Linked DNA regions of Arabidopsis thaliana. The protein of the gene in region 1 interacts with the protein of each later gene in a biochemical or structural test. Each region holds a gene or a part of one and is shown in the gene's direction. Other genes may lie near its edges. The genes, in order: EIF4A-III and ALY4.

Region 1 (12,780 bases):
TCACATGGAACTGCATCCTATTTCATGTAATACTAGCAACAAATGAGATACATAACATACAGTTAAGGCATGCTTGATATCCTCAATCAGCAACTTTAACATACTTAACAATGCTAAGACATAACGAGTAATAACATACATAATAAACCAGGTATTTCATAGGAGTTACACACTTTGCTTTGTCAATATCACGCCATCGGTGTTCACTTGGTACAAGTCAGTGCACAATAACTCGTTTTCCTCAAGCGCCTGGGTTAAAAGTTCTCAAAGTGTTACAATGGTTATGATAACATCGCAAATTGACTCCATTTCTCTAACGGAATTCAGTCTATGTCTATGTACCTTAAGTAGCTCATTTAAATTGCTCCGTGACATCACAATTCTTCTATCTTCTCCAAGTTGTTTGTTGAATACTATGAGGTTCTCTTCTTCCTGCACAAAATTAGAAAAGAAGAATACAGGTACAACATTGATAAGCAAGAAGTGCTGAACAAATAATTTTCAAGAAGACGATAGCAGCATGAGCTATGTAGGCATTTGCATCCCAGATATTGATTGCAGATGAATTTAACATTTTCCAAAAGGAGACTCTGAAGGAAGTTTGCATATATTTTCTCATATTTCAAAGTCAGAAGTTTTCAAATAGCTTTCCTACTTTCTCCTAATGTCGGTAACGTAAGAGGAATTAGCAGAAATATTTTCTCAATAGACATTATTAGATTCGAAACCAGTCTAAGTCTATATGCAATGTCACATAAATATGAAAAAACACATCAATGCAATTCTCATCGGTTATCCAAAACCATGAACGGAAGTTATTAAAGTCAATAGGCATACCTTAGGAGGGACTAGGTTCATAACATTAGTGAAGAGCTTGTATATCTCATTATCCTCTGATGTTTTCCTTCCCGTGAGTCCCTCAGTGAGACGCTTCAACGGAAGGGGCTGTAAGACACAACAGCATCTATGATAAATATTTTGGAGTGTAGTGGCTGGAATTTATCAAATGCAGACCAATAAATGGATGTACTATAATGTCAAGAAAGTGAAGCAAAGTATGCAAATCCACATTCAGAGTCTTGCACATATGAAGCTAGTTTTACCAAAAGTATCAAAATGCGACTGATACAAAGTCAGGACTATATGCATGTTCAAGATGTTGAATAAATTGAGTTGGTGTGCATACGAGACCAAAAGTTTTAAAAAATTACCACAATAGATAAGTACTAAGACTATCAATTAACGTTACTTTTAAGTTTAGCTATCATACCAGTTTCGCAAGACGGCCAAAGTTTGGGAGTATCATCGTCTGTTCACAAACAAAAAAGGTCAAAAAATGAAAGCAAACAAAAAGAAGAGCCAATGAACAATGACACGTGAGAAAGGCTTACAAATTTCTCTCTCTCTTTTGAGCCTGTTTCAATCTTGTTTCGTCCACAGATCATTACAACAGGACTTGACAATTTATCAAACATTTCCTGAACTTTGTCTACAAACTCATTTTGTTTTGACTTAGGTACAGCTCGAGACAACCACTGGGACGAGTCGGGAAAATAGACAATAAGTGGTTGTGTGGAGTGTAAAACCTACAAGAACAAAAAAAAGAAAGAATAAATTAACGCCATTTCATGTTGTATGTTCCTTGGAGAAAGTGTAAGCTAACCGCATTCAAAGTCAAGCTACTCTAGACTTCAAATCTTAGGGAAATGATATCATAAATTTCCAGCCCAAGAACGCAGCATACGCTGAACAATCCATATATGTTAAGTTTCAAATCAAACTAAATATCATGAGCACTTACTACTGCTGGATAAATGATCAGATCTGAACTTATATATAAGGCCAATGTACAACGTTAGCTGAATGGAAACACGAAAACATAATGTAACTTCCACACATACCTCACTTAAAGCCTCCAAGGCGATATAGCCATCTTCTGCCTGCATATCCAAATCATGCTTTAGGTCTCCAACTGCGCAGACAATATGTAAGTTAGCTGCATTTACATAAGATGTCAATCGTCTACAAACAGGGTATTTCTCCAAATATAGAGCAATCACACATCAACCATACAGAACGCCATGAATTAAATATACCATCTATCCAGTGCATATGTAGCTTATGAGAGTGTTCTGTTGATTTCTTGTCACCTCCCTCTGATGATGTATCACCTCCAATGTCAAATATGACTGCAACACGATTCCCATTCACCTCATAGACCTCTCCACGTTGTCCACTAGATAATGGCCTGTAGGTATAGAAATTTTGGTTAAAGACAAACCCTAGGGCATTTACAATCCTTCATCCATAATATTTAGCATGCCATGGAAGTTTATAACTTCCAGAGCAATGAGTTCAAAATGTGTTCCTAAAAGATCAAATGTTACATTTGCAGGCATGTCAAATTGCTGAGAAAACCATGGATAGTGATGATAATGGTAAGCACGCAAAAACAAGTCATTTAGTTAAGCAAAGGTAATGCGAGTTGCACTGTTCACAAATAAATGAATAAGTCCTATAGATAACAATTGTGGCAGCAGTTTCATACACATCCAATCCTATACCAGAACTACTCAAATTACTACTAATATGAATAGGCAGAGCAAGCAGAGATCAAGTCAAATAATATGAGACAGAGTCATAAAAGATATTAGAGCGTAATATTCTTCAGCAAGGTTAGAGAATAATTATCACACAAGTGAATCAGTAAACTACCTGTGCTTTGCATCAGCCTTCTTAGAAGGTCCAACATATTTTACACGATCTCCTGCAAAAAGCGTAAACACAAATAGAAATGAGGAAAAGTGAAAAAATTGACCACACAAAGAGAACTTAGCAGTCTGACAAGTAGAAGAGGAAAGAGTGAAAGGCTAAGATAGAAAGACAATACCAGGAAAATTATGACTAGATAGAATACAAAATTACTAAATCAAACTTATTTAGCAAACTGATACATTCAAGTGTACCTAGCACTTGTAATGATGAAGATGCCTTCCAGAGCCTTGATATTGATGATTACCTTTCTTTGCCGGTCGCCTGGCTTTATCAGAATGCTCAACAGCTGCTGCTTCGCAAGCTTCACCATGTAGTTCTTCTGCTACTAGCTGCCACAATTTAGAGGAGGTAAGCAAATTTCAGCAATTTCTGAAACTCAATTTAATTGGAAGTTCAAAAAAGGAACAATGCAAAGAGTCGCATGTAGAACCAAGAAACAGCATTCAAACGGCAGGAATGGTGAAACCTTCTAATTCATGCATAGTAACTCTAATAACAAGTTCATACAAATAAGATAAATCAAGAATCAGAAAACTTATATGACAGGGTCCCAAGATCACATTGTCCACGGGGTATCGCAAAAAGAAAAAGAAATACCATGGTATTACCAACTAAATTAGGAAAAGAACAATCAGTACAGACTAAAATTTCTGAATCTCAATTAATGCAATCATACCTTTTCGAACTCTTCAAGTTTTGGCACAATTTTCTTGATAGCTTCCTCAGAAACCTCGAGACAAGCTTCCTCACTGTCACTCCCATCTGCTTTCGCTTCAGAATCCTCTTCGCTCTGAGCACTAGAATCTTCCTCAGCATCAGACTCTGTCGTGGATTCATCTGCTTCCGCTTCTGCGTTCTCACCATCAGATTCAGATTCTTCATTGTAGTCATCAGCAAAATCCTGATCCAGAATTAAAAAATATTACATAAACACCAAAAAGAACGAAAGAAAAATGGTGGCATGTTATAGGCAAATTACTCATAAGAATCTCACATATGGGGCAAGAACGCTGCTGTCAAGAACCAACAGGGGAACTTGTACATCTCGAGCAAGTGCTCGTACCAACCTCTCCCGGTAAAGCTCAGTACCTGAATAAAATTCAAATTTCTTATTGGTCATCTAACATTTCCTCAATATTTTTACTTGATAACAGAAGAGCAACATCAAATCCTGGTCTGCCATTTTTATTCTATAGTCAATAACAAACCTGGAACACTCTGGAGCAATATTCTTCCACTTGAAGAATCTAAACGGGCACCATATATGGAAGCGGCATTCTTTTGTCTTATATGTGAGGTAACACATTCCACCAAAATATCTTTCGTGTGGTCGCTGTGAAAAGATAATGAGCAGAATCCATAAGCAGAAATGGAGAAAGAAACACAACAAGCGAGAAAAAAAAACATGTTGTAGATTATTACTGGATGTAGTAAGGGAAGGTCTCCCAAGAAAGCTGTATTTTTTCCCAAGGTTGGATTCTCCGTAAGAACTCGTTTTTGAATCTTTCTCGTCTATTAACGAAAGGTGACTCCTTCTTTTTGCATTCACTAGCAAGCTTCTCATTATTGAGCCATTCTATTTGGTCTTGTTCTCCAAGTTGAGCATGAGAATCCAAATGCCCAACACCGTTATTACTTTTCTCCTTCCCGGTTTTTCCATCATCTACACCATTCTCTTTGTTCAAAGAGATATGTTTATCCTCACTAGCATTCCTTCCATCACCCTCAGAACTAAAACTACGCAACTGGCTATTCTTCAAAATACTTAAATGATTTCCCGAGGCAATAGTACCACCGCGGGGAGAAAATGAACCAAGTAGAGACTTTCTTGTCAAATTTTCACTATTGGTTAATTTATTTGTGAATCCACAATATCTGGAAACCGTATAGTCACGAACGACTGGCCTAACTAAGTACTTGGCTTGCTGCAATACCAAACCCCATCTCTGGTTCCTCTTTAATGCCCTTGTATACATCACAAAGTCCCTTCTCTTCCAATATAACTACAAAAAAAAAAACAGAGATCATTGATTTAGAATCACTTTCAGGGTCCATTTCTTGTACTATCCAACCTAAATGCATTGCAACATGTAATTGCACCATTAAAAAAAAAAAAAAACGAGATCAATATCAACGCAAAACATACTATAGTAACTCGGAAAGAAACATAGATTCTATACAATTTATTTCGACTAGAGGAATAACAACACACTTCAGGGAATTAATTGATTAAGAACAGACATCAATTAAAATGAACGATTATGACGCATAACGGAAAATCCAATGTAACAACGAATATGAGGCATCGATATAGAAATGATGATATATTCAGCTTTTGTCATCCATAACTATTACAAAACACGAACCGTTTAACAGAGATGGACAACAAAACTGGTTCTATTCATCCCCCAAGCTCTAAGAATCAGGCTTGGTGCAAAGAGGAGATGTAATTAGGAACGAGATAGGGTGAAGAAGAGAGAGAAAATCCCGACAGAGGAGAGAGAGATAAAGACCGATCTAAAGTCTGTAGGTTCTTCTTCTGAAGCTGAAGCTGGGTTCGAAGTTCAGCTTCGTTGATGCAGTGTTGTCGTTTTGACGCAAAATTGCTACTTGCCTTCCTATGGATATGGGCCTAACTATAAAGGCCCACTAAACATATAAGAGTCGGTATTTTCCTGACAAAAAAGCCCTAACAAGTTGTCGGATTTACAATCGTACCCCTATTTTTAAGCCGCGCTTATCTCGAACCTATACCTGTAGAGAGGAAATAAGCATTTGGGGGAAATCAATCGAAAACCCTAGGAGAGATAAAAACAAAAATCTAGACGGAGATTTATGGCGACAGCGAATCCTGGCCGTGGAGGTGGTAGAAGAGGCGGTGGAGCTATGGATGACGATAAGTTGGTCTTCGAGACTACCGATGGAATTGAGCCCATCACGAGCTTCAATGATATGGGCATTAAGGAAGATGTGCTTCGCGGTGTCTACGAATATGGATTCGAGAAGCCTTCCGCGATTCAGCAGAGGGCTGTTATGCCGATTCTTCAAGGACGTGATGTTATTGCTCAAGCTCAGTCCGGTACCGGGAAGACATCTATGATTGCTCTCTCCGTTTGTCAAGTCGTTGATACTTCTTCTAGAGAGTATGTTTTCTGTTCCTTTAGCTGGATTAAACCCTTCATTTCAATTTTGAACTTTACTTGCTTTGCTCGGATTGTTCTCTAACCTAAATCATTAGGTTTTGTTTCTTATCGATTTCACAAATTTGGTGGGATTTGTTTGTCTGACTTGTAGAATAGATGAACGAATTATGATTCATTAATGTTCAATCAAAATGACAATGAAAATTTGTGATAGTTATTAGCTTTTCGGTTAGAGTGATTGAGTAATACTTTCTTTTAGGCTGCAAGATCTTTTTATATGTGTACTCATGTATTTGGTATCTCGGACTGCAGGGTTCAGGCCTTGATATTATCCCCAACAAGAGAGCTGGCTACACAAACAGAGAAGACGATACAAGCTATTGGATTACATGCCAATATTCAGGCACATGCTTGCATCGGTGGGAATAGTGTTGGAGAAGACATCAGGAAGCTGGAGCATGGTGTTCATGTTGTGTCTGGGACACCTGGTCGTGTCTGTGACATGATAAAGAGGAGAAGTCTTCGTACCAGAGCTATTAAACTTCTGATTCTTGATGAATCAGATGAAATGCTGAGCAGAGGGTTCAAGGACCAGATCTATGATGTTTACAGATATCTTCCACCAGATCTTCAGGTGCAATTTCACTGCTCAATATTATGTGTTGGCTAACTTCTAGTTTCTTTGGATGTTATTGCATTAGCTTTCTTATTTTATGGATTGGCTTCTTGAACTCTATGTGGATTGAGAGAATTATAAGTTGTTAAAAACCTTTTAGCCACTGTTAAGTTGCTTGAATGTCTTATGTGTAGATTTGGTAGCTATTATCTGTATTATGAACAGCTAAATTCCACTCTATAATAGTTCAATCCTAATACGTTTTTTTTGTAGGTTTGCTTGGTTTCTGCAACTCTTCCTCACGAGATTTTGGAGATGACATCCAAGTTTATGACAGAACCAGTGAAGATACTTGTGAAGCGTGATGAGTTGACTCTTGAAGTATGTTTCTTCTTATGCTTCTGTATGCTCGTTCATGTTTACTTTTACAGTAGGTTGACACTCATATTCTTCATTGGCTATCTTTTTGTGTACAATCTTTTCAGGGAATCAAACAATTTTTTGTTGCTGTTGAGAAGGAAGAGTGGAAATTTGATACACTCTGTGATCTTTATGACACGCTTACTATCACTCAAGCTGTTATCTTCTGCAATACTAAACGAAAGGTAATTGTGGTTCTCATGCAACTGTATCTCAAACTTGTTAACATTAAGCTTCTAGCACTGCTATCTGAACTTGATTTGCAATCTTGTAATTGCTCAAAAATTCATACTATCTTGTGAATATATGTATTTCTTTATTTCTAAAAGAAATTAACAATATAAGTCCACTGCGCTAGAGTACTTGCAACCTGTACTCACCTGCAGATATCTATTAGATTGCATTGGCTTTTAAAACCTTTTTCAATGTTTCTTGTAATTAGGGTTCTTGAATTATGGTTCCTTTTCTATATTTTACTCAACTCTAACTCCGCATTTGTTATAGGTGGATTATCTTAGTGAGAAAATGAGAAGTCACAACTTCACTGTCTCATCAATGCATGGAGACATGCCTCAGAAGGAGAGAGACGCCATCATGAATGAGTTTCGGTCAGGTGATAGTCGTGTTTTGATAACAACAGATGTATGGGCACGTGGGATTGATGTGCAACAAGTAAGTCATTACTTATCCGCTATATTTTGTCTAGATAACAATGCGCGGAATAAATTCAATCTCTGTTATTGAGGTCTCAGATTATGTTCCATTCTCTTATGGTAAAGGTGAATTGACATGACAATCTTTATTTAACAGGTTTCTCTTGTTATCAATTATGATCTCCCCAACAACCGTGAGCTCTACATCCATCGTATTGGGCGGTCTGGTCGATTCGGGCGTAAGGTAAGAAACTTTTTCTAATCTCTGCTTCTGAGCTTAATTTCTTAGCCTGGAGATACTAGATGGATATCTTTTAACCAATTTTGCGGTTATCTTTCTAGGGTGTTGCAATCAACTTTGTTAAAAGCGACGACATCAAGATTCTCAGAGACATTGAGCAGTACTACAGTACCCAGATTGATGAGATGCCAATGAATGTAGCTGATCTTATCTAAAAGAGCTTGTCTGAGATTTTTGTGCTTTCAGCGGGGAAGTGTCTGGATGAAAAAGTATTGTTGAGCGCTTCTGTCAAATTATTGCACTATCTTAACGGTGTATTTCCTTTGATGTTTCTGTGGGCTCTTTTGAACAAACTTAAACTCGCGTGTGGTAAATGTTTAATGACTTGAGAAGCGATTTAGGTTTAGGGTTTGGACCGTTTGGTTTTTCGTTTCCTCGTAATTGATTCTGGGGGCTTTGATTGTGGTTTGTGGGTCAAAACTCTCAACTATCACTACTTGTAAGACTTTTGCTCGACAGTTGAAACGGTTCATTGTTATCTTATTTCGTAAAGCTTGGATCATTGCAAAAATCAATCATTTGCAAAAGCAAAGCAAGTTGATGAAATTACTGGACATGACGTCGAGGTTTTTCGTATCGTGTGTTTCATTTGACGGAGTCAGGTGTCCTCGCTCGTTGGTTGATGGGTTGGGTGAAATTGATGAACGAAACCCAAAACCGGGTTAGGACCGAATTAGATTCACTAACTTAACAACACCAGGACCAATAACCGGAACTTAATAAATAAACGACCGTGGTTTTGTTTGTTTATTGGTAGTCAGCGACACGGAACTCATTAACTTTACTCTTCTCACTGGTCAATCGTCGGAGATAATCGGGTGATCGGCGATGGAGAATACGGACGTCTTCTTGGGGCTGCATGATTTCCTGGAGCGGATGCGCAAACCCTCCGCCGGCGATTTCGTCAAATCCATTAAAAGGTCCCATTTCTCCCTCTTTTGATGCAGATCCGGATATATGTGTGTGTTTCTATGTACGATCTTCCTCTTAGCTTAAGTGGATGTGCTTCTTAGCGGTTTACGTTTTTAAGTCCATTTTCAGTTGATGATGATACTATTTGAGCAAAATTCGTACTGATTTGAGATTTCTAATCATTTATTTATGCTTCTTCAATTGCTGTTACTGGGGAAGACAATTGGATCTTGTTAATAGGGTATAACAATTAGAAATTATTGATTTCATACTGGAATGGTTTGTTTATTGAGCATAGAAGTATTGTGGATAATGCGTGGTTAAGGATGTTTTTTGGTTGATGTTGCAGTTTCATTGTTTCATTCTCGAACAATGCACCAGACCCGGAAAAAGATTGTGCTATGGTTCAGGAGTTCTTTTCTAAGATGGAGGCTGCTTTCAGGGCTCATCCACTTTGGTCTGGTTGTTCTGAGGAGGAATTGGATAGTGCTGGAGATGTGAGTATCAGTATTCTTCTTTTTCTGTCTGTGAATTGTTTTCATCTTTGTACCATAATCATTGCTCGTTTGTATACACAGGGCCTGGAGAAGTATGTTATGACAAAGCTATTTACTCGGGTGTTTGCTTCAAACACTGAGGAGGTTATAGCTGATGAGAAGCTATTTCAGAAGATGTCATTGGTTCAACAATTCATTTCTCCCGAGAATTTGGATATACAACCAACTTTTCAAAATGAATCGTCATGGCTGGTAAGCCGATCTAGTCAAAAGCTAGCTCCCGGTAGTGTTTCCTCTTTTTGTTAGTGTTCTTACTTGTGATCCTTTCTCTCCTTTTGGCAGCTAGCTCAAAAAGAGCTCCAGAAGATAAACATGTACAAAGCTCCTCGTGATAAGCTTGTGTGTATCCTTAACTGTTGCAAAGTGATTAATAACTTACTGCTAAATGCTTCAATTGCTTCAAACGAGAATGCACCTGGAGCAGACGAATTTCTTCCTGTTTTGATATATGTAACAATAAAGGTATTGGGAACGATTGAACAACTTATGCATACTGGTATCTGAAGTCGTATTTTTGTTGTACATGATTATGTTTCGAATGTGCAAGAACATCTACTAGTGCTAATTCTGTTCTTTCTTTTTGCAGGCTAACCCTCCACAACTTCACTCAAACTTGTTGTATATACAAAGGTATAGGCGTGAATCTAAACTTGTTGGTGAAGCTGCGTACTTCTTCACAAACATACTCTCTGCAGAGTCTTTCATCTCAAATATTGATGCAAAATCTATTTCACTGGATGAAGCTGAGTTTGAAAAGAACATGGAATCTGCACGGGCACGAATTTCTGGTTTGGACAGCCAGACTTATCAAACTGGTCATGGCTCTGCACCACCCCCTCGTGATGAGTCCACTCTTCAGAAAACTCAAAGTCTGAATCCCAAGAGGGAAAACACTCTTTTCCAATCAAAATCGTCTGATAGTCTTTCTGGGACCAACGAATTACTGAATATAAACAGTGAAACACCAATGAAGAAAGCTGAATCCATTTCAGATTTGGAAAATAAGGGTGCGACGCTTCTGAAGGATACCGAGCCAAGCAAAGTCTTTCAAGAATATCCTTACATATTTGCCAGTGCTGGTGATTTGAGGATAGGAGATGTTGAAGGCTTGTTAAATAGTTATAAACAGCTCGTTTTCAAATATGTGTGCCTTACCAAAGGATTGGGTGATGGAACATCTTTAGCTCCATCCAGTTCACCCTTGCAAGCGTCGTCCGGTTTTAATACGTCTAAGGAATCTGAGGATCATAGAAGATCGTCTTCAGATGTACAAATGACAAAGGAAACTGACAGGAGTGTTGATGATTTGATCCGAGCTCTACATGGTGAAGGGGAAGATGTTAACAATCTGTCAGATGTAAAACATGAAGAATATGGCGCAATGTTGGTAGAGGGAAAGGATGAAGAACGTGATTCCAAGGTGCAAGGAGAAGTAGATGCCAAAGATATTGAATTGATGAAGCAAATTCCTAAGAGAGAAGGTGACAATTCTAGTTCCCGACCTGCAGAAGATGAAGATGTTGGTTCCAAACAGCCAGTTACGGAAGCTTCTGAGTGAGCCAAATGACCCATCTTGGTGATGAGAGTCTCTTGTATCGGATCAATTATTCATTTAATGGGGGAAGCAAAGGTCAAGTCATAGTTAAGATGTCATCTATTCGTTTCTTGGAGTTATGAGTTTTGAAGATGACTGGAGAGCCGTATGAGACGGAAGCTATCTGCATCTGTATTCCCTTGGAAAAGAGGGGCAGTCAAATGGTAAATTACTTTCTTCAATTGTGTTTCTTTTTTTGCTCTTTGTTTCTCAGTGATATGATTTTGGAGGGGCTCGTCAACATTTGTCAATCCATATGTAACTCTTACATCTGCTATTGCGTATATACAATAAGGATATAATCAGAATAATATTTGCCAAGCTGTTAGATATGAGAAGGAAGTAGTCTTGCAAATGATTGAGTGAATTAGCTGAGTAATGGAATCTGAAGTCAAACCACATATTCCATGACAAAAAGAATGGGTAAAATCTCAACAGAGTATTGAATAAGAAAAAGATGATTTGTAATGTTTGAGGCTTCCTTTATTTATTTGCCATGGATTAACGTTGTTGGAAGCTGTGAGAGAGCGTCAGACAAGATCAGATCAAACGTCAGTGTCTGAAAAACCTGAGATAACAGTAAAACACAAGACAAGGCTTTGTGAGCTTGACCATCTCCTTCAACGAACGGTTATATTCAGATAGAGTTTGTAACGTCGCTGCTTGTGACTCTAGAGACTCTGTGAATCTAGCTAAGTTGGAGTGAATCTAGTAACAACGAATTCTGAGGAATCTCGTAAGACCAACCAACAGTCAAACTCGTTGGTCAAGAATCTGAACCGGGATTGATGATGAACCATATCGTTATTAATTCCATGGATACTCGAATTGATTAGTGTCGGAAATGTTTGTCTTCTCACCACCAGATAATTTCAATAATTTTGGAGTAATTTTCTGAACTTCTATCAACTTTTTATTATACACGTGATAAGGGAAGCAACCAAACCATCGTCCACCGAACCGGTAAAATGCTGACCCTTCGACAATTTAAATCCGTTAAACCGAACCAACCAGGAGAGAATCGGGATCGCGACGTCGAAACAAGGAAGAAGACGCGACGCGACGAGTGAGAGCGAGCTGTTTTCCGATGAAAACGCCGACGCTCCTCCTCCTTCCATTCTTGGTCTTCGTATCCATAATTCTTCCCTCAAGCTGCCATGGCGAATGGGAAATCCTCACGGAGCAAAACTTCTCTTCTCAGATCCGTCTCCACCCTCACGTCCTCCTCTTTGTCACCACTCCATGTACTCTCACTCTCCTCCTCAGATCAGTTTGCTTGTTAAGCTGAATTTCTCACTTGCTGAGGTTTACCTTTATGGAGATATGTATCACTATTTTATTTGTTTTCTGATTGGTTTCATTACTGATTTCATAGGGTGTGGTGAGTCCAGATCTCTTAAGTATGAAATTACTCAGATGGTTCAGAGAAGAGAAGAGTTTGGCTTGTTGAAGTTAATGGTTGTATACAGAAACTCAGAAAAGGTGTTAGCACAAGCCATTGGTGCTGCTGTCAATGGGATAACAATTTTGTACTATCACAATAGTGTGCCTTACAACTATCTAGGGAAACTCCGAGCCTCGAATATATTGTCATCTATTCATCCTTATCTGACATCTACGCCTGAAGAACTCCCTCTCAAACATTTGAAGTCTCCAAAGAGTTTGAAAGATTTCCTTCAATCATCTGATAAGGCTTTACTTCTGTTCGAATTTTGCGGATGGACAACTACACTGATGTCTGAGCTGAAGAAAAATGTTACTCAAGATAACCTTTGGCAGGGTGAGAGATAGTCCTCCTGATCTTGTGAG
Region 2 (13,081 bases), on another chromosome or scaffold:
CATCTGTAAAATCCTAATAAAAGTCTAAAACTACAAACAATAGATACCTACCTATAGTCGTCACTCTCTTAGCTTTCCTCGACCCTACAACGTTTTTGTTTCCAGTAAATTCAACCTTACAAGTTGGGCTCCGGCAGTATCCGACAATATTTTTTTCTCTTCTCGTCCGGCGAGCCTTCCATATTCGGTGGTTCAGGTTGAATTTATTGACATTTTAAAAAAGACCATGTTACTATAGTCTCTATAGCAAAACACATGTAATATTGTAAAGTAACACGTTCTACCAATTTCTCATAATGCTTATTTCATCATTCAGAACATAGCAATCATAATTTTATCAACTTGGCATAATTATTTTTATTTCGCACCTTTTTGAACAAAATATTCAAAATTTAGTAGTATAATAAAATAGATGTAAACTCGCTGTAACTATCCTGCATTAATTATAGATATCGTGCACCTCAATTAATTTGATATGTACACCGAACTAACTTGTCTCGTATTACCGGCTTACCGTTTTCCAAATAAATAATTTTCTGTATTAGGTTCGTACTACATTTCCTGTGTCATATGTCTCACCTCACTTTTAGTTGTACTTCACCTAATGATGCATTGAAATTCCCGACTAAATCCTCCTTGTGAGGAGTATATTATATTATAGCCATTTTCTAAAGAGAAAATGAGGCTAAGGAACCATAGTGATTTGCGTAATTTCCACTCATGATTTGGCTATACACCTAATTACTCCATATTTATATATAATAGTGAAACCTTGTAGCTTATGGATCACCATTATCTAATTAAAGTGTAGTTGCCATTATTGATATTTGCATGGGAGAATAAATATGCTGACCAATTTTTCACTAAAGTCTCAATGACCTTAGTTGTAGAAATATATATAAAACAATGTTTTTATGGTGGAAAACTTTCAGAAAAGATTCCACTCATCTCTCTTTCTCACCATAGTTGATGCATCCACATTTGAGCCAACAAGCCAATAGCATTAGATTCATAAAGAAAAAAACTTAAACGTACGTACAAATATGCAATAAACAAATTAGTGATCATTGATCAATAACCATCATTTTTATAACAAAAAGTGGTTTTTCACATATCTATGAATAACCCCATCGATAAATAATTTGTGCTCTTGATGTTTCGGGACTTATAATATGAATGTAATTAAGGATATTATAGATTCTTCTCAATAGAGTTTCAATATGGATGGAAACTCCTAACAATTACCTTTCATGGTCTCTTTCTATCTCTATATCTCTTCCTTTGTGCTCTTATAAAACGAAAGCAATAAGTATATGAAATCCATGCTTCTTTACTGATGTATGCATAGAAGACTAATATATATATATATATATATGAAGATATATAAAGAGTGATGAAAGGGGAGAATAAAAAATTGTTGGTGAGTGTGAATGTTCTTGGAAGTGTTGGCCCTATAAGGTTTTTGGCCAATGAAGACGATGAAGTTTCAAGTGTTATTAACACAACCTTGAAAGCCTATGCTCGTCAAGGGAGGATCCCGGTTCTAGGGTTCGAAGTGGATAACCTCAATTTCTATTCCATTAACGCCGGATTCAGTAGTATTTTCCATCCACCACTATTTAGTTTGTTCTCTTAGAATCACCTAAATTCTAGATTAATCTTGACCCGCTTATAAAAAATCGCATTAGTTGTTTAACGTTGTGTGTACAAATTTTGGTATAAAATTCTAAATCGAAAGTAATTTGATATTTGTTTATCATTTTTTTGGTGTTAGAATTGAATACACACAAGAGAAGATAGGATCAATGGATGTAACGAATTCCTTGTTGTGCATGAAAGAGCCAAGACCATTGGAAAAAGTCCAAAGAAAAATAGAGAGTAAAGCATCAATCTTTTGGAGGGACCATGCATCACCACTGGATCAAACAACACTTGGTTACTATCCATGATCTTTGCATATAAATAAGGAAGCCTATCCTCAAAGGTAAGGAAATATACAATATAATATCCATCTTTTTCAAGTAGTTTGACCCTAAAAATGACATTACATCCTTTTTCACCACTCTTGTTCAAAATTTCAATGAGTACTGTATCCATAGTGATTTGCATTATTTCCACCCATAGTTTGGCTATATACTTTTAATTAATCCACGTTTATATATGTTAGTGAAACATAGCTTATATATGTTTTACTATTTTCTAAATTCTAGTTGCTATTATTGATCTTTTGCATGGGAGAATAAATATGTTGACCTATTCGTTCACTAAAGTCTCCATTATGATTTATGCACATTAGTTGTAAATAATATAAAAAGGTTTTAGTGGTGGAATAGTTTCAGAAGAGATTCCACACATCTCTCCACCATAGGTGATATGCTTAGCTTCTTCATTTGAGCCAACAAGCTCTAATAGCATTAGATCCTCCAAATTTTCTATCGTACACTAAACTTACTAGTGACCAATAACCATTAATTTATTAACAAATTTAGACCCGCTTTAGTGGTTCTTAACATATCTATGATTATCAATAACCCCACAAAACTAAAATTCGTAGCCTTGATAGAAAATCTCTCTAACCTATTGTGTCGAGACTTATATATGCATGTAAGCATATATATTATAGGGTTATTCTCATATAGTCTCAATGGATGGAACTCCTAACACTTACCTTTCATGTTGTCTTCTCTTCCTTTAATTTATGCATCTATAAAACGGAAGCAGTAAGCAAGTAAGTTTCATTCTTCTTTAATGGTCTATACAAAGAAAAAGGATGAATAGAAATGAGAATGTAAAAGGAGTGATGAAAAGGAAGAATAAAAAGTTATTGGTGAGTGTGAATGTTCTTGGAAGTGTTGGTCCTATAAGGTTTTTGGCCAACGAAGACGATGAAGTTTCAAGTGCTATTAACACAACTTTGAAAGCCTATGCTCGTCAAGGCAGGATCCCGGTTCTAGGGTTTGATGTCGACAACTTCATTTTCTACTCCATTAATGCCGGATTCAACAGTATTCTACTCCACTCTTGCTTGTTCTCTCGGAGTCCGTGAATTCTAGATTAGTCTTGAGATCGGTTCAAGATTTACATGGCTAAAACAGAAAATCACCAAAACAATTTGCATCCTTAACCTTGTGTGTACAAAATATTGTATAAAGTACTCATTGAGCGTAATTTGATTTGACTGTTTACATTTTTGGTGTTAGCTTTGCATCCACAAGAGAAGATAGGTTCAATGGATGTAACAAATTTCTTGATGTGCAAGAAAGAGCCACGGCCACTGGAGAAAGTCGAAGGTATAAGAGAGAGTAGAGCTCGGATAGGCCATGGATGGAAAACTACTCATCTTCTTCGGTTTTTATTAGGATATATTCCTTACAATCACAAACCTAACTCTACAAGTCAAATGGACTATAGATCATTCGGTGATGGGAACGCTTATTGTATAGAGGAGTACCAACAAGAGTTTCAAAGGATTACCAAAATAAAGGAATACCAACGAGAGTTTCAAAGGTTCTAGTCTTCTAGAATAAATTTGGGATGGAAGCAAAATGCATTGGTCGACAGCCTTTCGAGATATACTTTACAATTCAATTGTGGACAATGATGGGATTATACAAAATATTTGAAAAACTACATTCTAAAGATCTCTATACATTTTGGTTTATACTAGTTCTGAAATCTAAATCTAAATCTAAACAGAATTTGACCGCCAATTTACCATGTACTAGAGACATTTTGCAAGAAAACTTGATCCATGAACTTACTTGACTAAGATTAAGAACAACTAATGGACGGTATCTTCGAATATATGAATACTAGTAAAGTCGTTTGCAAAATATTCAATTCAAAACAAATGTCTCTAAGTTGTACATGGTAAAATGGCAATCAAATTCTATTTGAATTTCATAATTTTGAATGGGAAAAATCTTGAAAAAAACTCTAACTAATTTTTATTTGGACGTTTAATACTCAATTGTTTTTAGTTGGAAGAAAATTACACGAAGTTATAAAACTGTACAATTTAATACTCACGATCTCACCACAAAAATAAAATTCTAATTTTATCCTTACCATCTTAATTAACTATTAATTTTTTAGATTATATGATATTAATTTTATAATTTTGGATAAAATTTATTTTTTAAAATTTTTTATTTTATGGCGTCTAAAAATTTTAAATGTCATTTTTAACTAGAATTATTTTATTTTAAAATTTAACATAAAAATTAGGAGAAAATCACAAATATTTTTTAAAAAGATCTTTAGAATGTAGTTTTCATGATTATATTCTAAAGATCTCTATATATTTTCGTCTCTATACTAATTATGAAATTCAAATAGAATTTGACTGCCAATTTACCATGTACTAGAGACATTCTAAGTTTTTGCAAGAAAAGTTGATCTATGGACCATATCTTCGAATTTATCCCTACATTATTAAAAGGGAAGTACAAATTGAAATTTTGTCTAAATTTGGCTTCAATTTTGATTTCAATTTTGGATTTTGTTCTTTGCTATTCAAAATCATTAAGAGTAATTTGGTATTAACAATCTCCTAAACTTTATATGATCCGATTCAATCTAAACCGTTCAATAAAATTAATTCCCTTCAATCTAAACCGTTTAACAAAATAAAGAATTTATGTCGTTTTTGAAATCAAAATATGATCACATTCCATCCCTAAAACACTATACTCAATCACAAAATCAATAATCGATAATATCCAAATCATATATTACGATTCTTCACTAATCACTAGATATTTATATTTATAAATTTAAAATATCAAATTTATTCAAATATTTAGTATAAAAACCAAATCTACCGATTGCCCGCGATTGCCCGCGGGTTAAATTCTAGTGTATACTAGTAAAGTCGTTTGCAAAATATTCATTTCAAAACAATGGTCTCTAGTACATCGTAAATTGGCAATCAAATTCTATTTGAATTTCGAAATTTCGATAGAGACGAAAATAACCTTCTAAGTGTTCTATAATTACGAAATTGTCCTTACCCTAGACTTAAACCCCATATTTTCTTCCTCCATCCCTTCTCTGCTAAATTCTGTCTGATCTAAAAAATCAACGAACACAAAACTCATCAAAGCTCCTCAAAACCCTAAACACAGTCTCTCCATCTTCTTCAATCTCTCTCTCGTTCGGATTCTCATCTCTTCTTCTGGTAATTTCTTCTTCTTCTTCTTCTATCTTCTTGCGAACCATTCGTGCTCTTGAACCATCTTACTTGATTAATTTCGTTCTATTCTCATCTGCTTGCACGCAATTATTAGTTTTCGTTTCAATAACTATGACTAGGTTAATATAGGATATAGATCTAGGGTTTCAATCGATGTTATGTTTGATTTGAGAACTATAGATTTCCCTCGTAAGTGATCTAGGGTTTATCTGATTAGCTCTCAATCTGATTGGATTGATTTGTTTCTCATGAGCCTTTGTGTTTTTCTACACTGGGTAGCTCTAAAATTGCAATTTTGATTGAAATTTATTGTTTGGGTCATTAAGCTAGTGCTTGTTTGAGTTAGAAGATAAGCCAGTTTTATGATTATGATATGTTTTTCTTGTTCATGTTTTTGGTGGTAACTAAACACTCCTTCTCTAATTTATGCAGGTTTCAGATTGAGTCTTGTTACTGTGTTTCATAAGACTATTGAAGTTAAGATGTCTGGAGCATTGAATATGACTCTTGATGAGATTGTTAAGAGGGGTAAAACTGCAAGGTCTGGGGGAAGAGGGATTTCTCGTGGGCGTGGTCGTGGACGTGGTGGTGGTGGAAGAGGAGCTGGACCTGCTAGAAGAGGTCCTCTTGCTGTGAATGCTCGTCCATCATCTTTCACCATTAACAAGGCAAGCTCAAAATCTGGGATCTTCTATGTGTATGATTTGGAAATCTGAGTTTCTGTGAAGCATTTACTTCATCATACTATATCTAAACGATGGGAGAAGCAGGTTTTCCTGTCCATGCGGAAAGCCTTACTTCTGATGATAGTTTGACATTCTTTAGCATTGAGAACATCGCCTAGGAACATGCTTCTTTCTAGTTCATGGAGATGTTTTCATTTAGGAATGCCTCTTACCCCTGCAGTTTCAGTGTACTTTGTGGTTTATGTTGTTAATTGTGAGGACTTTGGCAGACAAGTTATTGGTTGCTTTTGCGACAGTACTTAGAACCTGAGGAGCTTCAGTAAGATGAAGATCAAAATTTGTTCTTCCAGTACAATTAGACATGTTGTGCATTTCCGTCACACAGTTTCAAATCCTCAAAAGATGTGTGGTGTTGTAGTAAATATAGTGACTTACCCTCCTAACCCCTACACAGTCTTAACTGTATCATGCATGAAGTTATTGATGAACGTCCTGCTGCATTTGGAATTTCTTCAGCATGCTATGAGCGTCGGTTTTTCTTTTATCATCATAGCCTTGGTACAAAGAATTTGTTTTGGAACCGGAGCATAGTCGGTCAAACTCATTGTTCCTCCATTTCATTTGGTTTTCTCATTGGGTGGTTCTTGACTACTCGGTGGAGCTCTTTGCTTTGACTGGGTTTCCCTCTTCCAGGCATATGGGTGGTCACTTCTTTGGAATTGTTTTTCATTGACGCTGTTTTTGAAGTTCGACAGACATCTTGTACTGAAATGATTCTGTTCTATTGAATAGCCTGTCCGTAGGGTCAGGAGCTTGCCATGGCAAAGCGGTTTGTTTGAAGATGGCCTAAGAGCTGCCGGGGCATCAGGAGTTGAAGTTGGAACCAGGCTCCATGTTACAAATCTGGACCAGGGTGTGACAAATGAAGATATAAGGGTATAATCAGACTTCTATAATTTGTGCATTTGGTTTCTTAGAGGGGAGCCAGACACTAAAATGTATCTTCATGGGATCTAGGAACTCTTCTCTGAGATTGGGGAGGTAGAGCGTTATGCGATTCATTATGACAAAAATGGGCGTCCAAGTGTAAGTCCTCACAAATCTTTATCAGTCCCATTCTCTTCATGATTTTGAAAAAGTTTTATCTTGTATGCTCTTTCTAACAGGGATTTTGTTTTGTGCCATGTAACTATAGGGCACAGCTGAAGTGGTGTATCCAAGAAGAAGTGATGCATTTCAAGCTCTGAAGAAATATAACAATGTGCTATTGGATGGAAGGCCAATGAGACTTGAGATTTTGGGTGGCAACAATTCTTCCGAGGCTCCTTTATCTGGTCGTGTGAATGTGAATGTCACTGGACTCAATGGAAGGCTGAAGAGGACGGTTGTTATCCAGTATGAATTTCTGTCTTTTCTTTTTGTTTTCTCAGTAATCGCATGAATAACTGTTGTGAGACTAAATCCAAGACTTACACAATCTTCTCTGATGCTTGTAGACAAGGAGGAGGAGGGAGAGGAAGAGTTAGAGGTGGGAGAGGAGGAAGAGGTCCAGCTCCTACTGTCAGTCGCCGCCTTCCAATGTAAGTATAAATCTGTTTCTCTTAATTCGTTTAGCGGAGAACCGAACTGAGATTTGTCAACTGCATTCCATATTAAACTGCATGGTCACAAAAGTTTTGTTCCTATTTTTGTGTAACCAAACCGAATAAATCAAAATTCGTAGTTAATTGATTTTCGTTTGTTTCGGTTAATGTTTTAATTTGCACTTGTTTTCTCTTGGTGGCAGTCATAACCAGCAGGGAGGAGGGATGAGAGGAGGAAGAGGCGGGTTTCGTGCTAGAGGGCGTGGTAATGGTGGCCGTGGTCGTGGTGGTGGAAGAGGAAATGGAAAGAAGCCAGTGGAGAAGTCAGCTGCTGATCTTGACAAAGATCTTGAGAGCTATCACGCTGATGCCATGAACACCTCTTAAATCGTGTTGTGTTGTTCTTACTAAACTAGTTTCAGATGAAATCATGCTTCTCTTTTTTTCATGCTCTTCGTTGGTTTTGTTGGATGTTGATTGTAAAGTAAATGGAAGCCTTTTAGAATCTAGCTGTCTTAAATTTTCTTTTATATAAAGAGTGATTTAAAGTTACCAAGTGAACTGTTTTAAGATCGGTTTTACTCATCAAATTCAGAAGTCTAGAGAGAATTAGGTTTTACATTGTAATGAAAAAAGTGAGTCTGATTGTGAACAAAAATTTCTCAGACCAATTTAACCGGATTATAGACATTCTCACACATCCATAAAGCCTAGAAAATTTACAAAACTGAGTTAAAGAAAAAAAAAACACACACCATTGAATCACAACCATCAACCTGACGCAAGCCTATCTACCTTTCAGGAACAACGTTATCGTTGAGAACGAATTCTCCTGAATTGCTTCGATGGAAAAGCTTGTCCACAACTTCATCCCAATTCTTCTTCTTTGTTTTCAACTCCGCGGATGCTTCTCCATTGTTGCATTCTTCTTCTTCTTCCGCGGTGGACACTGCGTGTGGGATATTAAGACTCACGGCTCTCTCCAACGCATCTTTGTGCTCTTTCTCTAAAGTACTTAACCTCTCCATTCTCTTCTCTTTTGGTGCCATTGTTACCACTGTCTCTGAACTCTTCTCTCTCAATATCTGTAACCACACACCACAAAACCCACCATTTATAAAAAGAAGCCTAACTAGTCCCTTACTATTTTGTGCAAAGATAGTAAAAAAATTTGTAGCAACAACACAATTAAAGATTTTATACTCTTAACAAAATCGTCGAAAATCTAAATCTTAAATCCTGTAACCTTACTTAAGCCTTATAAACTAAATCCTAAATCCTTAGCCCTAACCATTGATCTAAAACATAAAAATGCAGAAATTAAATGTCACCTGCAATGCCTTTTCTGCTTCTCTTTCTATCCATAGAATCGCATGATCCGATGTTGCATTCGATGATAATACTATATGCTCAAATCTACCATCAACGGGAATCGCGGTTCTCACTTCGGGAGGAAACCTTCCACATCTAAATACAAAAAATAATCAGAGGAAAAACAAACAAAAATTGCTAAGAAATGCCACACTAACTTCATTATTACCTGCAAAATTTCCGCTCAACGATATGATAAATTCGACCAGGAGCATAAAGCCTTCTAGGATCTCTTAGTTTCCGACCTTCCGGTATAAATGTATCCCTCAGACAAACTAGAAACAACAAGCACGGCAAGCTGTCCGAACAACGAATACAAAATGTTGAACTATACCTATAACAAATTCATTCCAACAAGAGCATTTTCGAAGTTCGACACTTACCAGAATACAGACTTGAATATATCCTCTAATGGTGTCGCTGTTCTCGGTAAAAAATCATCCTATTATTCCACAAACACTAAGTTTTGTTAAAATTCTTAGTAAAATACCTTACTCTATAAAAATTCTCTCTATAGACAGATACCTTTCTTAACAACTAAACAACCTCCAAAACTAGTACAAAATTTAGCAGAATATTCTGACCAAACTCAAGAAGCAAAATGAAAAATTCAATTCGTCGATTCATTGTATAAAGCAAAAGCATATTCTGAACTTACGAAACAGGATTATGACAATGCTTGGTCAACAATGAACCAACCACCACCATCCAACAAGACAGTTACAAATATAATCCAAATTTTATATCAAAACTATAAATATATTCAACTCTTTACATAACCAAAAAAATTAGTTGTCAGAAATCAATCTCTAACCCCAAAAACAACTAAACCATAACACCCTTAACTTAAATACAAGTGATTTAACATTTCTAATATATTATTCTTTGTTAAAAAATCAATTTTTGTAAAAATCTTTTAACTAACATTGAGATCATTAAAACATGGTTAAATTTTTTTACCTGCAAAATGACGGAGGAGATGACGTCAGCATACTTAACGGCGAGATTAAGCGACATACATCTCGCCGGAGCCAAAGCAAAACATCGAACCTTATTCCTCGGAATATCACCAATCATCGCCGGAGTATTAACAACCAAAACCGCCATCAACGCCGCAACACCAGAACCCAAAGAATGACCAGCAAAAACCAAATCATACTCTCTACCATTCTCTTCCCAAACTCTCCAAAGAGTCTCAGATTCTTGATTCAAAACCCAAGCCGCAGATTTCAACAACCCACGATGCACATAACCACCACCAAGCATTTTCTGACCTAATTTGTTATCTAACAGAATCTTGTAATCACTCTCTTTAGCTAAGTTCAAGCCACGAATCGCTAAAACAATCTCACGGTGGTCGTGATCTATGTAGATAATGTACGGTGGAGATCTTCCTTGGGTTTTTTCGTGTGTCACACGTTTGATGACCCATTCAGGGTTTAGATCGAAAGTTCCTAACGAAGGTGAGATTTTAGGGTTTCTGAGATCGGGTTCGTAGACGGCGAGGATTACTCGGCTGATTCTTGGGATTGGTTCGAATTCTTCCGGTGTTGCTGATGTCCACGTGGCGCTATCGTCTGAGCCTACGTGTGTGCATCGTTTCCATGCCCATCTACTGAATCCTACACAGAAGACACATTCTAGTCCACAAGCTACTGACATTTTTGACCCAAAGGTGAGATTTTTTTTTTTTGAAATTAGAGATTTTTGGTTTCAGAAATCAGAGGAAAGATTGAAACTTTTTGGCTCAAAGATGAGATTAGAGAATTTGGGTTTCAGAAATCAGATGAAAGATTAAAAATTTGAGATAAAGGTGAGATTTTTAGAACTATGAATTGGTTTGAGAGAAGACAAAATTTTGACTCAAAGTTGAGATTTTTAGGAGATGGGTACAGAGAGGAGATGGAATTAGAAGACTTGGTTTTTGATTTTTTTCAGAGGAAGAGAATCTGAAATTTGAGACAAGAGAAATTGGTCAAATTTCGAGGTCGAATGGGAAATTAGAGAACTTGAGATTTGATGAATATACAGTAAAGAAAAAATATTAAAATTTGAGGAAATACATGGAAAAAAAAAAGTTGTAATAAGAGCCAAAAGGGATAAAGAAGAAGAAGAAACCAGCTAAGTATAAAGACAGATAAGCGAGATTATCTCTCTTTCTGGGTGTTTCGAGACAGAGACAGGCAAGAAGCCCAAAAAGCAAGAATTGAAGAACTTGTCCATTTTCCCATGTTTTGTAATAAAAAAACGCCCAACTTTATTCCGTTTTATTTATTTACTCCTTTTGTTATTTTTAATTAATTTTCTAAAAAAAAAATATTTAAAATATATATTAAATCTGATCATAAAGAATATTCAATTATTTTTATTGAAGTTTAAAATACATCAATAATACTGCATATAAAACCTAAAAAATTAATGTTTAAAAAACATTTTTTTTCCTACAAAAATCAAATAAAAATGAAGAGTATTAGTTTACACAAATCTTGTAAATTGTGAAAATCTTTGATCCCCTCCCATTGATTTTTTAAAAAGTGAAAATATTTTTAACTATTTTTAAGGGTATTTTAATTAATTGTTTTTGTCTGAATGAGTTATAAAAACTCTTAAGGTGTGTAAATATGTTTTGTTGATTTGTCTATAATTATTACTATAAACTGATATTAGTAAAATTGACAAATTGATATGTGTAGACAAATTGCATTGTTGGTTATGAATAATGAAAATTCAGTTCTAGTAATGTAAAATTGGTAAACTAGGAACCGGTTAAAATGGATTCTTCTCGTTCCAAGAAATGTTTATACAAAGAAAGTTTCATATAGATATTAGTGATTAAGATATCAAAATATTTGGAAGGGATAAGAACTAGGCCTGGCCCAAATAGGGTGGAGAGAGGTGCAGTAGCCCATGGGTCCATACTACAGTTGTGACGACCAATGCATTTTGCTTCCATCCCCAAATTTATTCTAGAGGACTTGAAACTCTAGTTGGTATTTCCTTATTTTTGTACTCCCTTATTTGGTAATCCTTTGAAACTCTTGTTGGTACTACTCCTTTATACTTCAAGTTTGTATAATCTTCACAATTTGTGAGTCTGAAGCGAGCCCACATTTCATTCTCGAAAATCTCCCTTGTAATGAATGTTTTCCTCTTCGTTTACATTCTTAATGCATGCCACTCTTTATTGGATTCTTCTTTAATATGGTAAGAGGCATATTGTAATACTTAGTAGATACGTAAATGTCATGTCTTACCCAACCAGATAGTCGATCTCGCAATAAGAACCGTGAGAATAGTGCAATTTTGAAAATTTGGAATAAAAACAATGGTTGTGTATGGTCAGTTCGACTAGAGGCGTTGCCATGATTTCTCCCCTAACCCTATTTCCTCTTTGTGTTGTGTCACGTTTCTTTATTTGTTGCTGACCATTGAGTCGAGTAAGCCGTTTAGGAAAGATTCAATTTATGAAAATTTCTCGTTCACCCCCACTTGCATATTTTAGAGCTCAGTTGAACCTTTTTTAATTAGGCTCGACTACAATTGATCAGGTCTGTTTTTGTTGCTAGTGGTAGTCTCACAAGTCACAAGGCAAGATTCCAATCAAGGGACTACCTAGCTACTTTGTTTTTTCCTTTTGGGAATTAGTCTAATCACTCTATCGTTAGGTTTTATCTTTATTTTAAAGAATCTAGGTTTCTTACAGCAAGTTGTAAATAAATAACGAGTTAATCAAACAATATAAACCTAACTACATTTTGACTTCTTATGACGTCAGTTGGCCAACTTCTTATGAATCCATACACGTTTTTATTAAGTAATCAAATTACTCTTTTCATAGTATTTTCTTATACCAAAAATACTCTTTTGATATAATTAAGTTTGACCATAGATACGTCATACGTGTGACAGACAGTGTGAGATATAGCTATGTATCTATGCAGCTTAGAGTTGAGAATAAACCATTAACACTAGAAACATAACTGGATCAACGCAACATTGGTTTCATCAAATGCATCGTGGACGTTTCTTATAAAACGTTTGTTTCGTTATCTTAAAATTCGAAATATTCTGTAACCAAAACTGAACTGAAACCAATTTTGGTGTAATCAAACTAAACTGAATCGAACAAAATAAAAATTCATTGAATCTTATATTTAATCTTTTATATATTGAAAATCATAATCAGTATTTACATAAATTTCTTACTAAACCGAATTACGAATGGTTTTAGATGATTTATATTTCTG

The links.
Region 2: the proteins of EIF4A-III (region 1) and ALY4 form a complex in vitro, tested with the Arabidopsis thaliana proteins (one study listed by BioGRID).

What each region holds. Positions count from the first base shown.
Region 1 is NC_003074.8:6,858,180-6,870,959, forward strand, and holds EIF4A-III (eukaryotic initiation factor 4A-III), read left to right. Parts: upstream 1-5,481; 5' UTR 5,482-5,610; coding exon 5,611-5,918; intron 5,919-6,230; coding exon 6,231-6,552; intron 6,553-6,807; coding exon 6,808-6,915; intron 6,916-7,019; coding exon 7,020-7,139; intron 7,140-7,458; coding exon 7,459-7,626; intron 7,627-7,764; coding exon 7,765-7,851; intron 7,852-7,949; coding exon 7,950-8,063; 3' UTR 8,064-8,467; downstream 8,468-12,780. Other genes in the region: AT3G19740 (P-loop containing nucleoside triphosphate hydrolases superfamily protein), read right to left, coding at 174-249, 343-432, 838-945, 1,271-1,309, 1,392-1,586, 1,902-1,972, 2,097-2,248, 2,716-2,767 and 5 more; VPS9A (Vacuolar sorting protein 9 (VPS9) domain-containing protein), read left to right, coding at 8,737-8,828, 9,170-9,317, 9,399-9,569, 9,660-9,839, 9,964-10,935; AT3G19780 (uncharacterized protein), read left to right, coding at 12,059-12,215, 12,347-12,751.
Region 2 is NC_003076.8:14,976,574-14,989,654, reverse strand, and holds ALY4 (ALWAYS EARLY 4), read left to right. Parts: upstream 1-5,002; 5' UTR 5,003-5,179; intron 5,180-5,626; 5' UTR 5,627-5,676; coding exon 5,677-5,862; intron 5,863-6,672; coding exon 6,673-6,816; intron 6,817-6,897; coding exon 6,898-6,966; intron 6,967-7,075; coding exon 7,076-7,275; intron 7,276-7,376; coding exon 7,377-7,460; intron 7,461-7,666; coding exon 7,667-7,850; 3' UTR 7,851-8,036; downstream 8,037-13,081. Other genes in the region: AT5G37730 (uncharacterized protein), read left to right, coding at 2,771-3,005, 3,201-3,514; AT5G37710 (alpha/beta-Hydrolases superfamily protein), read right to left, coding at 8,255-8,548, 8,795-8,930, 9,004-9,132, 9,218-9,276, 9,795-10,496; AT5G37715 (uncharacterized protein), read left to right, coding at 10,210-10,233, 10,552-10,632. UniProt on the Arabidopsis thaliana protein: Export adapter involved in nuclear export of spliced and unspliced mRNA. Plays a role in disease resistance. Mediates multiple defense responses triggered by NEP1, including stomatal closure, hypersensitive cell death (HCD) and defense-related gene expression.